Linked DNA regions of Arabidopsis thaliana. The protein of the gene in region 1 interacts with the protein of each later gene in a pairwise test. Each region holds a gene or a part of one and is shown on either strand. Other genes may lie near its edges.

What was found.
Region 2: the proteins of CYTC6A (region 1) and LTO1 interact in a two-hybrid assay, tested with the Arabidopsis thaliana proteins (one study listed by BioGRID).

The regions. Positions count from the first base shown.
Region 1 is NC_003076.8:18,172,111-18,180,202, reverse strand, and holds CYTC6A (Cytochrome c), read left to right. Parts: upstream 1-3,314; 5' UTR 3,315-3,351; coding exon 3,352-3,414; intron 3,415-3,501; coding exon 3,502-3,637; intron 3,638-3,995; exon of another isoform or gene 3,996-3,999; coding exon 4,000-4,097; exon of another isoform or gene 4,098-4,184; coding exon 4,185-4,216; exon of another isoform or gene 4,217-4,274; intron 4,275-4,345; coding exon 4,346-4,409; exon of another isoform or gene 4,410-4,502; coding exon 4,503-4,637; 3' UTR 4,638-4,832; downstream 4,833-8,092. Other genes in the region: TTR1 (Disease resistance protein (TIR-NBS-LRR class)), read left to right, coding at 1-123, 207-506, 594-1,427, 1,507-2,390, 2,481-2,594, 2,668-3,187; AT5G45030 (Trypsin family protein), read right to left, coding at 4,965-5,398, 5,479-5,985, 6,070-6,310, 6,395-6,538, 6,725-7,222. UniProt on the Arabidopsis thaliana protein: Functions as an electron carrier between membrane-bound cytochrome b6-f and photosystem I in oxygenic photosynthesis.
Region 2 is NC_003075.7:16,940,485-16,946,572, forward strand, and holds LTO1 (NAD(P)H dehydrogenase (quinone)s), read right to left. Parts: upstream 4,194-6,088; 5' UTR 4,139-4,193; coding exon 4,040-4,138; intron 3,964-4,039; coding exon 3,678-3,963; intron 3,398-3,677; coding exon 3,141-3,397; intron 3,045-3,140; coding exon 2,932-3,044; intron 2,782-2,931; coding exon 2,634-2,781; intron 2,550-2,633; coding exon 2,310-2,549; coding exon of another isoform or gene 2,249-2,309; 3' UTR 1,547-2,248; downstream 1-1,546. Other genes in the region: AT4G35750 (SEC14 cytosolic factor family protein / phosphoglyceride transfer family protein), read right to left, coding at 381-600, 716-980, 1,067-1,190; SEN1 (Rhodanese/Cell cycle control phosphatase superfamily protein), read left to right, coding at 4,589-4,740, 4,833-5,029, 5,120-5,190, 5,291-5,344, 5,425-5,499. UniProt on the Arabidopsis thaliana protein: Thiol-disulfide oxidoreductase catalyzing disulfide bond formation of chloroplast proteins and involved in redox regulation and photosynthetic electron transport.

The DNA.
Region 1 (8,092 bases):
AGAGAAACAAGACAGACTAAGAGGCGCAGCAGACTGTGGGAACCTTGCAGCATCAAATATTTATTAGAAGATAAGGAACAAAACGAAAATGAAGAACAAAAAACAACTTTTGAACGTGCTCAGGTCTGTTATCATTTAATAGTTTTATATTGAACCTATTTTATGAGCCAACATCCTACTATAATCCACTTCCAATATTCTTTCAGGTCCCTGAAGAGATCGAAGGCATGTTTCTGGACACATCAAACTTAAGTTTTGATATTAAGCATGTTGCCTTTGATAATATGTTGAACCTTAGATTGTTCAAGATTTACAGTTCCAATCCTGAAGTCCATCATGTAAACAATTTCCTCAAAGGCTCTCTCAGTTCTCTTCCTAATGTGCTAAGACTCCTGCATTGGGAGAACTATCCTCTGCAGTTTCTGCCTCAAAATTTTGATCCTATACACCTTGTTGAAATCAACATGCCGTACAGCCAACTTAAGAAACTTTGGGGTGGAACCAAGGTAAGCAATCTCAAATATGCGTTTTTCGCCGTTATCTATACTCAAAGACAGATTTTGTAATTCTTTTTTTGACATTTTTTTTCGTAGGACCTGGAGATGTTGAAGACAATCAGGCTTTGTCATTCCCAACAACTAGTTGATATTGACGATCTTTTAAAAGCTCAAAATCTTGAGGTAGTTGATCTCCAAGGCTGTACAAGACTGCAGAGTTTCCCAGCCACCGGTCAATTGCTACATTTACGAGTTGTAAATCTCTCAGGTTGCACAGAGATCAAAAGTTTCCCAGAAATTCCCCCAAATATTGAGACACTGAATCTACAGGGGACTGGTATAATAGAATTACCACTTTCCATTGTTAAGCCAAACTACAGAGAGCTTTTGAATCTTCTAGCTGAAATCCCGGGTCTTTCAGGTGTCTCAAACCTTGAGCAAAGTGATCTCAAACCTTTAACAAGCCTGATGAAAATTAGCACATCTTACCAAAATCCTGGCAAGCTTAGTTGCTTGGAGCTGAATGATTGTTCTCGTTTGCGAAGTCTGCCAAACATGGTTAATTTAGAACTTCTCAAAGCCCTTGATCTTTCTGGTTGCTCAGAGCTCGAGACTATCCAGGGTTTCCCACGGAACCTGAAAGAGTTATATCTTGTTGGCACTGCAGTAAGACAAGTGCCACAACTTCCTCAAAGTCTAGAATTCTTTAATGCCCATGGTTGTGTCTCTCTCAAATCAATTCGTTTGGACTTCAAGAAGCTTCCTGTGCATTACACATTTAGTAATTGTTTCGATCTATCTCCACAAGTGGTCAACGATTTTTTAGTGCAGGCGATGGCTAATGTGATTGCAAAACACATACCAAGAGAGCGTCATGTCACAGGCTTTTCTCAAAAGACTGTGCAGCGTTCGAGTCGTGACAGTCAGCAGGTAATACTACATCCTGCTATGTACATCTAGCCCGGTCCTTCATATATCATATCTGACTTATCATGTATTATTGCAACAGGAACTCAACAAAACTTTGGCTTTCAGCTTCTGTGCGCCCTCACATGCGAATCAAAATTCCAAACTTGATCTGCAACCAGGATCTTCTTCAATGACACGACTAGATCCTTCTTGGAGGAACACACTTGTGGGCTTTGCTATGCTGGTGCAAGTCGCATTTTCCGAGGGTTACTGTGATGATACTGATTTTGGCATTAGTTGTGTTTGCAAATGGAAAAACAAGGAAGGCCACTCTCATAGGAGAGAAATAAATTTGCATTGTTGGGCTTTAGGGAAAGCTGTTGAAAGGGATCATACGTTTGTCTTCTTTGATGTCAACATGCGTCCAGATACCGATGAAGGAAATGACCCCGATATCTGGGCTGATTTAGTTGTTTTTGAGTTCTTTCCTGTCAATAAACAGAGAAAGCCTCTAAATGATAGTTGCACAGTGACAAGATGTGGAGTCCGTTTAATAACTGCTGTAAACTGCAATACAAGTATCGAGAATATATCACCAGTTTTGTCCTTGGATCCGATGGAGGTTTCTGGTAATGAAGATGAAGAAGTATTGAGAGTCAGATATGCTGGTTTACAGGAGATATATAAAGCTTTGTTTCTTTACATAGCGGGTTTGTTCAATGACGAGGATGTTGGTTTGGTAGCACCACTTATTGCTAACATTATTGACATGGACGTTAGTTATGGGCTCAAGGTCTTAGCCTATAGGTCTCTCATACGTGTATCTTCCAATGGGGAAATAGTGATGCACTATTTGCTACGACAAATGGGTAAAGAAATCCTCCATACAGAATCAAAGAAGACTGACAAATTAGTCGACAATATTCAGAGTTCCATGATCGCAACAAAGGAAATCGAGATCACTCGTTCAAAGAGTCGCCGAAAGTAGGTTGCTTAGTTTTTAGATTACTTTTTGTAGTATATCATACATTTTGTAGATTGTTTAAAATGAGTTTTTATTGACGGTGGATGCAGGAACAACAAGGAAAAGAGAGTGGTTTGCGTAGTGGATCGAGGCAGCCGGTCCAGTGACCTATGGGTTTGGCGAAAGTATGGTCAAAAACCCATCAAAAGTTCTCCTTATCCAAGGTACACTATATATATACACAAATCTTTGATGTTTACTTAAGGATTAATTAAGTCTTTGCTTTTTACTTCTCAGGAGTTACTATAGATGTGCCAGCTCGAAAGGTTGTTTTGCTAGGAAACAAGTCGAACGTAGCCGCACTGATCCAAATGTTTCAGTAATTACTTACATCTCTGAGCATAACCATCCATTCCCCACTCTACGCAATACTCTTGCCGGCTCCACTCGTTCCTCTTCCTCCAAATGCTCAGATGTAACTACTTCTGCCTCATCGACAGTCTCCCAAGACAAAGAAGGACCGGATAAATCCCATTTGCCTTCCTCCCCTGCTTCTCCTCCTTATGCGGCCATGGTGGTTAAGGAGGAGGACATGGAGCAATGGGACAATATGGAGTTCGATGTTGACGTTGAAGAAGATACTTTCATACCCGAATTATTTCCAGAGGATACCTTCGCTGATATGGACAAGCTTGAGGAAAATTCTCAGACTATGTTTCTCTCTCGCAGAAGCAGCGGAGGCAACATGGAAGCCCAAGGGAAGAACTCTAGTGATGATAGGGAGGTCAATTTACCTAGTAAAATTCTGAATAGATAGTTACTATTATGCAATGTTAATAATAATCTGTTTGATTTTTTAACATTTGTTCGGACATCCAAACCTGTGGGACACAATTTATTACTTTAAAGATAATATATCAAACAGAGAGTGCAATGGATAATATCAAACAGTTAAAAGGAAAAAAAAAAAAATTCTTTGAGATGAGACTTGTTCTCTCTGGTGCCTCTTCTTTCACCTCCAACCTTTTTTGTTCCTCCCAACAGGTTCTCTATTTCTTTCTCTCTATGTAAACATTTTGTTAAGATAATGGTTTCATACATGAACGTGAGTTTGTATCTATTGTTCGAAAGGTCAATGGAAGAGGAAAAGAACTGAAAAACCCAATTTCTCTAAACCACAACAAAGATTTGGACTTTCTGTTAAAGAAGTTAGCTCCGCCACTCACGGCGGTTTTACTTGCTGTTTCACCCATCTGTTTCCCTCCAGGTAAACCCTTGTTTCCTCCGACCAAAAGCTTCTACCTTTAGAGTATTTGCACTTAGATTGAAATATTACAGAATAGCTCTTCACTTTAAGGAATTCGTATAGTTATAAGTTAACAGAGTATTTTTGTAGAACACTTGTCTCACCCATTGCTTGTGAAAAATGAAGAGGATTTTGAGAAATTTCTGTCTGAATTTGTTGTTTTATTCAAGAATGTTTTCTTGTTGGAACTACTGATATGGAATCTGGATTCTGTAACTGGAAACAACGATGTAATCAATGTATCGTTGAATTGCTATTGGAACTGAAGTATGTTTTGAATGTGTTTATGAAAGTTTCTTGCTTTTATGGGTATTGTGGTGTAGAATCTCTTGGGCAGACTTTGGATATACAGAGAGGAGCTACATTGTTTAATAGAGCTTGTATCGGGTGTCATGATACAGGTGGAAACATTATTCAACCTGTGAGCTAAAAACCATTCTTGATTCTCTTCTCATGTCATCTTTCATTACCTTCGAGTCAATTAGCTCATATCTTTCCACTTTTCCAGGGTGCAACGCTTTTCACAAAAGACCTCGAAAGGTAATATAACTTATGCTGGACACTCAAAGAACTGTGTGCTGTGTGCATCTATAATATTCTGACAGGAAAAATCGGTTACACAGATCGTTATCTCTTAAGATTTGCAATGGTTTATTTACTTTTCTACAGAAATGGAGTTGATACTGAGGAAGAAATATATCGTGTTACCTACTTTGGAAAGGGAAGAATGCCGGTGAGATCTCCTTGAAGAAATTCCTTGTATAAAACTGAGAATTGTCTTCCACTTAGCTAGATGATCTGAAGTATGTCTGATGATTTACTTCAGGGATTTGGTGAGAAATGCACACCGAGAGGACAATGTACCTTTGGACCGCGGTTGCAGGACGAAGAAATCAAGCTTCTCGCTGAATTTGTAAAGTTTCAAGCTGACCAAGGCTGGCCAACTGTATCTACGGACTAGCGACTAGGCATTCTTCGTCTTGTGAGCGTTTTTGTAATCCAATTAATCCATAGGGCTGTATCTACTTACACTTATAACAATTCCTTCTGGGAGGTTTCATTGCAATTGCTTATGCTCCCAGATGTTCTTAAGGTACAACAAAATTATAGGTGTTCATAAAATCACCAACACATATATGCTCATAACGTTTGACTATCCCTTGGCATTAGCCATTACAAATATGCTATTCTGAATATCTTTCCTCTGGAGAAAAAATGCAGTGGAAAAATAATAGTGATGTTACTATTGACTCCTCTGGTATGTTATGAAGTCTCATGAGCATAACCCTCACTCTTCATCTTCTTGAGAACCATCTGGTGAATCAGTTCGCTTTCTTTTCTTTGTATCTGACTCACCTAACTGCAAAGAAAAGCCTATCTCATCACCTGAGCTACTAGTCTTAAGCGAAGACAGGTTCTTGGATTCGAGATTCTCTGGTCCATTAGGTTTCTGATGAAGTGCGGATCCGTTGTTGCTTGAACTTGGAATGAACTGGTGTTCTTCGATCACAGCCACTGATTCTAACACGTCTTCTATTTGGAACTCTGGGTGAATGTTTGAGTTGTCGTCTTCTATAAGAACTTGCTGGACATTCAAGTTAATAGGCTCAAAGTTCTCACCCGTTTTACACCTGGAAATATTGCACACACCAGGAGATGATTCCACGACGGTGGAATCAACCGCAGCACACATAATACCGTTTCTCTGTTCCAGCACCGCAGCTGCACTCAGCAAAAGAGACTTTGTAGGAAACAGTGTATACTAAAAGTACTGCAAAAAGACTCTAAGTAATAACACAGACCTTGAAGACCCTCATTGGAAGTAATGAGATCAAGCTCAAGAAGATTAAGAACTCTGCCAAGATCAACTCCACTTGTCCAATTCTCAGGTTGTTCCCCCACTTTTAGCTTCAACCGTCCCCTGTTTGCTGTTCCTCCCCATATGATTCCAACAGGTCGCGGTTTCTCGTTCTTCTCATCGCCCGCAGCCAACAGAATAAGGCTTCCACTATCACCCTCAAGATCAAAAGTCTGCTGGTTTTCACCAACAACAAGAAAATCGGTTAGGAAACAAATTCCTTTCTCGTCATTGTATTCCAACGCGTAAGCCATTATGGTCCCAGTGGTCAAACCCGAGCTTCTTCCAACTTTGACAACTTTTCTTCCTATTAGACTGTTAACTGGAGACTGTAGATCAGTAGCATGGATATCACCAATCTCACCAATCCCTTTGACAGTTGTGGTTACATTGTTCGTATTGAAGTCCTCGGCAAATGGAATGAAGGCTCCATCAGCTCGAACAAATGTTTCTGCAGAAAGAGAGAAACCGATAATTAAAATCGTGCTACGCCATTATACATCAGAGTTAACTCTATACATTGTTACTAGGCTACCTGGGTTAGTTCCAGCGAAAATGCCATACCAAAGGTCATCGGTAATGAATGAAGTTGCTCTTTCCACTGCACCTAAGTAGACTCCGGGTCCGAGGCTAGGTGGCAATGGATGAAACATCTTCTGGCTTGGGTAGTCTAAATCAACTGCAACATGCCGGTTTGTTAGGAAACCAACCTGTCTGATACCAGTTTTACTCTTTACAATTGCACCTAAGGTTCCATATGTCTCTTGGCTAGCCACCTACAAGATGAGAGGCATGGCCAGATGATTATTGTAATATTGTCGATAATACAAGCGTATATGCAAGTTTAGTACACAAATTACCTGTGAACCAGATCCTATGGACGAACCACTGCCTCTCAGATCATCAACAAGCTCTGTATACACCTGCTCTTTAGGTGTTTGCGCAGGTGCACCATAATATTGAAACTCAACAACATCTACATCACACCAAACTCCTCCAGGACCCTATCAAAGCAAGATACTATGAAGTAAAAAAAGGATTCCAGAAGGCAACATAAATAGGCGGCATTAGTAAAGTTTTCTATAATAGGTTCCATGCTGTAGTACCTACATTACTAAAAGTTCCAATATACTCTTTCAAGCACAAGCAAACGATTATAAGTAAAGTATCATAGGCAAGAGATATCTCACCTCCAAGGCTGTAGGTAAACACTGAAGAGGATTAAGCCATTGCTTGTGAACTTTCCGAGCAACAAAAACAAGAATAGCCGCTATATTTGTCAAAACACCTCGTCGAATCCGAAATCCAATAGCCGTACCGAGACTAAACCTCCTTAAATTCTTACTATGAAAAGCTCTAATCATCATCAACTCAAGCAATGTAGTAGCTTTCTTCCCAGTAGGTAAACCATCAAAACTTTCAGGCAAAACACCTTTTTGAAGATTTGCAAAATAGTTTGCTCTGTCTTCCGCTGAATCATTCAATCTACTTGAAGTAGGCCAAGAGAAGTAAGCAGCAGCAGCACTAGTTTCAGGATGCTGAGCGCCTGATGGAAACGGTTGAAGCGGCGATGAAGACGCCAATTTAATATGATTGTAAACATTTTTATCCAAATCCAATGCAGCAGATTCCACAGATTGTGATGATGTAGAGTGATGAAATCTAAGATCCAATCTCTTTCCTTCCATCTTTAACCTTCTACTAATGAAGATACACAATCACCAACCTATACTAAAACTGAATCATGTACATTAGTTTTAAAAAGACTAAAATTTGAAAGTACATAAACAAGAAGAGAGCTCATCAAATAAACTTAATCTAAATATAAACAGACTGAAGCAAGCAACATTAAGAAAATAATCATCAAACCAGAGGGACTAATACCAAAGTCTCAAGAACACAAATTAGCTTATGTATCTTAAAGGTTAGAGCTTTATTGGAAAATAATGAGCAAGATTGAAAATTGTGATAAACCCAGAAAAGGAAACATGAAAAGAGCTAAAGAAATTGAGTGAAACAATGGAGTTACTAATCAAAATCAAAAGAAAAATCTTGGGAAATTTGGGGGCTTATTAGACAGAGAAGAAAGAAGTACTAACCGATCAGTAGTGTTGGGATCTTTCTCATGTCGTGAATACAAAACTCTTCGAAAAGGATTGGTGAAGAAGTGGTAATAATAGAGAGGAGGACCCAAGAACTTTGTTGAGCTTGAGAGTGGACGACGAAGACTTTGTTTTTTCTTTCTTTTTTTCTCAAAACCATAATCGGAGGAAACAGCGACACGCTTTTGTTTGCCAAATGTATTTTTACTTTTTATTTAGTTTTAATAACATTATTGTTTGTTGGTATATTATTTAGGAAAAATTATATCCTATGCCATATTTTTTAAAATCCTTATATAATGTGTCATTATTTTTCTAGGTCTTACAACTCATGCCACATTTAGATGGGAAATGTCAATTTTATCCTCACCATTTCTTCTATATTTTATCTCTATTTCCTCGAAATCCGTGCATTTTGACCATACACCATTATTTTTCCAAAGACAAAACGAAAAG
Region 2 (6,088 bases), on another chromosome or scaffold:
TCATATTTGCTGCTGTAAATTTAAAATGACTTTTTTTCAATTTCTAATTTTCCCTTGATCATCTTACAAAAGGACTTATTATTAAATTCACATATGACAATATACATTTTACACACTAACTCACAACCACCACCACTAAAGAAAAAACTAATCAAGACAAAAGAAAAACAGATTAAAGAAAAAATCTAAAGATTCTCCTCCTTCCCTTTATCCAGACGCCAACTGCTTTCTTTTCTTTTCTTTTCCATAAAAAACGCTCACTAATTTCAAAAAGCACACCTATTTCCAATCTTTTTGATATATTATTAATCGTATTCGTATATTATATGGTTTATAAGATACGATCCGATATCTAGTGGGTGGAGTTTTAGCCTTTTACGCTATGAGATACACCTCATGGAGAAACTTGAGACTGATGAATCCACGGCGGCTCCGGCGAAAACCCTCGCGTGATCGCTTTCTTGACCGTAATCCATCATCGGACGATACTCCAGATCATCATCGTGATCGTATACAAACTCCGGCATCTCTATCTCATTCCTCCTCACATGTTCCCACAGATAATCAACTCTGCTTATGTACCTCAGCTTCCCGTACAACCTACCGCAGCCAATCACCACACCAATTAATTAATCAACGTTTTTCTAAAAAAAACTATAGTATCAAGAAAAGTCGTTGACCAGAAAATTAAAAAACGCGGCGGTTAGTTACTCACCCGCCGGAAAATAGAAATCGGCCGCAGGTGGCGAGGAAGAGACGTGATTGAAGACCTGGATGGAGGAAGTAAACCTCCTGAAGATTGTCTCTGACGTTTACCGGAATTGCGTCGTAGATCGCTCGTAGAGCTGAGATACCTGGGAAGTTCTCGCTTCTCTGTACGCCGGTGTGGACGTAGAGTACGGCGAATGGTTTTCTACCTAATCGAGGAAATATCTTCTCCTCTAGATACTTCTTCAACACATCCAGTGACAGAAATCGAGCTGATTTCAGAAACAAAAAAAACTCAAATATAAGAACAAATCTACACAGAGAGAAAAAGAAACAGATCCGATTGATATATCAGTACCTGGGAAGAATTTTCCGATAATACGAAGGATCTTACGGCCACGTTTGTCTCTGCCATGGATCTTGAAGATCTCAAGCTTCTCGATCAGCTGCTCTTGTTCAATCTCCGAAATCTGAGAACTCATCGTTTCTCTCTCTCTCTCTCTCTTTTTTGTTTCGTCGGTGAAATTCACAGTTGAATTATAGAAGAAGAAGGGAACAAAAATTGAGGCGAGTGAAGAAGAAGATGATGATCATTTTAAAAAGGGAAAGACAAAAAAATAAAAAAAATAGTGTATTAATTGGAGGGTAATGGGAGAAACGACGGGCTCTTACGAATATTCTATAGCATCTTCCTTTTTATCATGATCTTCCTCACCTCTTTGTGGGTCCTACATTCCAATAATTATTACCTTTTTCGCCCTCTCTTGATCTTTCGTTGTTAAGCAACTAATCTGGTCCATCCGTTTTTGCTACATCTAACGGCTACTGCCTTTTTTGACTCTTTTCCCGCCCCCCGCCTTAAGCGTTACGTCTCATCACATGATTCATGTAGATTATTGGATAAGATGGGCGTTATTTTGGATCATCCCATCCGATGTTGAGTTAAACTAATCTGAGCTTACAAATTATTAAAGATTATAAAGATCTCTATGTTCATATCTATCCAATGCCCAATGGAATCTTTTAAAAAATATAAGGAAAAACATTATCTTCTGCATATTAAACGGATAATAACAGCGAAACTTGTGGATGGATCATTACAATAGAAAAATACCGAGGAGGCACATTCAAGGAAGGTATTCAATAGGGCACCAAATATTGTAAACGTAATTCTCTAAGTTTCCCATACATCATATATCTGCTACTACTCTACACGCATATATATACAAAATACATGTGTGACTCTCTTATATAGACCATACTTTTAGACATTATACTTACATAAAGCCAGTACTAGATGGCTGTAGATTCTCGAATTAATAGTACCCTAACATTCTTTGGAAGAACCTATGAATCTTTCAATTATAAAATAGTGATGCTCTGGTGTAGGCTAAGTGATACAGATGAAGTTGTAACCTCCTATGGCAACAATAAGCACTTTCATTACTTGAATTTGTATAGAACACCCTATAGCTATCAGGAGGATCAAGTAAACAACATTTACGGATTCACCTTAATATTTTCTGCACCAATACAAAATTTACTGAAGTTGATTGGTCTCATTTGCCTGATCAAGGCTGAATCCAGTCATCTCCGCTAGTTCAGCGAGTTCTATTTCTCCGCTTAAGACCTAATTTATAAAAGAGGTGAAATAGGTACTGACATGTGATGAAATGTACAAGGGGTTCAGAGGATTTACTCACCTTATCATTTATTATCCATGTTGGGAATCCTTCGATCGCAGCATCTGCACATGCCTTGAGTATCTTAGTTCCTTTCTTATATCCATCCGGAAAACATTCCACGTAGTTCAGTTCTTTTGCCGCTTCTCTTCCAAACATCTGTAGATGGATGGAACTATAATGAACATATAATAAAAGCATAAAACTGATTCTTGGCAAACAGGTGATGAATGAACTAACTACCTCTTTTTGCTCTAAGCAGTGAGAACACCAGAATGCCCCATACATTTTAGCTCCAATGGAGTTTAGATGTTTTGCTAAAGCAATAGCATAAGGGCTCGATGATGAACTGATCTCTGTTCTAAAATATGGCAGTTCAATGTCACCAGAGCTGGAAGGAGTGAAACAAAAAACGATCGGGATTAAAAGAGACCACCTGATAAGACTCATACATCTTTCGGAAGCTATTTGTTCACTACTCGTTACAAATGACTAAAATTTCTATCGGGACTCCCCAAAGAAAACTATGAACTTTGATTACCGTGAAGGGATTGGTTGAGCAGTACTGTAAGAAGCAGTCAAGGAGGCAACTACTATGATTGCTAAGCATATCTGCAATCCTACAACTTGCTGTATTTCTTGCAACTTCACATCCTACCACATGCATGGAGCACATTATCATAATCCGAAGTTTAGAAGTTATCTTGAGTCAACATCAGGAAAAAAAAAGAAATGGAAATAAAGGGATACCTTTACAGAGAGGAAAAATAGACTAAATGATAAGAAAGCAGACACCAGACAATACAGGCATGATGATCCTGAGAGTTTTGTGCTAAGGATATACAGGAAATATGCACTAGCAGATGCCATTGCAGTCGTGATCCCAAATAACGCGAAACGCCCATTGCTCTTACTGATTCCAAAAGGTAGATTCCCTTCCCCAAGCTCTGCACTTAGAGCGGTTACTACGCCATACATAACAAATCCAATCACTGGAAGAGGAACACCTGGCAAAATGTAAAAAAGGATTTTCATTGAGTTCAACTTACCTGCAATGCAATGTTGGACAAACAACGAAGACAAAGCACTACATAGAGTGGAGTGAAGCATGCTATTTAACTCTAACAATTCTATGCATACTAAGTACCAAAGCTCCTAAATGATATAGCTTCAAGCAAAGATTCACAGAGACTATCACATGCGAGTATTTAATCATGCCTACTATAAAAGAGAGGACAATTAGCTACATAAATCAAACGCTATAATCAATAAAGCGATGGATAATACCGAAAACGACGGCATAATCGCTGTTGAGGACATCACCGCAAGTGCCACCACCAATAGGGCAAAACGCATCGGAGCCAGTGACCTTGAGGTAAGTCAAATACGCAGTGTCTAACATCCCAATACCGCCGATTCCGGTGTACCAGTTGTATGTCGAACTGTTACTAGTAGATACTTCACTTGTAGACGATGAGGAGGAGGAAGACAGCGACGGTGCCGAATCCTCACCGTTTTCCGGCTCAGATGAAGAACATTTAATCGGAATCGCAGGAAATCTCCGATCAGAGACCTAATTCAGAACATCTGACTTCAAATGACCGATCACACACTACTGTCACTGAAGAAAACACATGACAAGAATTTACCTCGAATCGTCTAGGATAAGAAGTTACCGACGGAGGAGAAACCTCACGGAAGCCGAAATGAAACTGACAAGACGACACAGAAACAAACCTCGCCATCATCGTCGTCGAAGAATCGCTATTCCACCATTGTTAACTTCATCATCTTCTCTCCTCCGCTCCACTATCTCAGCCACTTGTTTCAATATTGGGCCTAAACGAGGCCCAAATACGATAATTTGGATCCATAATTAGTTTATCACAATTGGGCCTTACGGTCTTCTTATCCGTCCGAGTCAGCAAGTTATCCTCTTCAACACGACTCACGAGGCACCGAGTTGGACTTATCATGATTCATTATCTACGCATTGTTTACATTTTGGAATCGACTTTGGTACATAATTGAATTTATCCATAGAAATGATAGAGACTCGAAGATCGGACATAAAACTTGCTGACGTGACACCCATACCTTTGTGTCTGTATGTATTATATAAACGCTATAGAACTAAGAGAAGAAGTATCTAAGTAGCATCAAAGCATTCTAAAAGAAGTTTCAAAGAAGAAGTGAAAATGGAAACCACTGCTTTTAACACAACATCACGAATTGGAAACTGGTCATCGGCTATTTCTCCACCTCTACAAACATGTGGATCTTTCAAGTGCCAATTACCAACACGAAGAGGTGTTATTGTAGCTGATCTTCGAAACTCAAACTTCCGATGGTAAGCTAGCAATCAACGACGAGAATCGCCTTCTCTATCTGATTTTAGATTATGAATAAATATTAAATCTGAGTATTAACTTCTTGCTCAAGGAGGAAAGCAACGACAACAAGCAGAGGAAATGTTGCAGCAGAGGCAGTTAAAATTCCTACGTCAGTACCAGTAAGAGTGGCGCGTGAGCTAGCTCAAGCAGGATACCGCTATCTCGACGTGAGGACACCAGACGAATTCAGCATCGGACATCCGACTAGAGCCATCAACGTACCTTACATGTACAGAGTCGGATCAGGTTTTCATCACCGACCTTAAGGTTCCTCTTATGAGAAAGAGTGAAAATGAAAAACAACTTAAAACTAACACCAAGCCAAAACCGTTGCAGGAATGGTTAAGAACCCGAGTTTTCTAAGACAGGTCTCGTCCCACTTCAGGAAACACGATGAAATCATAATCGTAAGTTTCAGTTTTGACATTCAGAGACTAAATAAACCCCTATGAAGACAATCCCTTGTTTCACAAAATCTCTGATGCACGTAATAAACTACTTCTGCAGGGTTGTGAGAGCGGTCAAATGTCATTTATGGCCTCAACTGATCTTCTCACTGCTGTATGTGTGTAATATCACTTCAATTTATATAGCCGTTATCCGGTTTAGGACAAGCGGGTTTAATGTCGCCACATGTACAGGGCTTCACGGCGATCACAGACATTGCTGGAGGATACGTCGCTTGGACAGAGAATGAGCTGCCGGTAGAAGAGTGAAAACAATCATAGCCATATCACCTCCTGTAATTATCAATAAATTCTGTAGATGTTCTCAACGCAAGTATCAATCATCATTATTATTCTCTAAAACATAGTTTAACTGTCAAATCTATATTGGGTGAAAGCTTTACCGAACTTCGAACACCACAAAGTTTACGGACCAATTAAGGACGGGGATGCATGCCTACACACGTTTAGTTTTCGCCGTTTTAAAATTTTAATACTTAAACTAATTTTTAAATGATAATAGTGAAATTAACATTATTTTAGTTAAAAATTATTAATTACTTTCTTAAAATTTAAGTTTTAAATTGGTTTTAAATTATTATTCTTTAAGTTTAAGTGTTAAATTTATAAAATGATAGAAAAACATATTTATACATGGACAAGATCAAACCGAAAGGAACCGAAACTAATATTATGAAAACTAATATCAATCTCAACACAGGTGTTTCTGTATCTGAATCGTTTACGATCAGTTAATATGATTACTTGCTTTGATTAACAAAGAAATCCGTAGCCGCTCTTAAGAATGGCTTCAAAAGAATGGCTTTCACTTTATTGAGTTGCAATCCAAATCAATCTC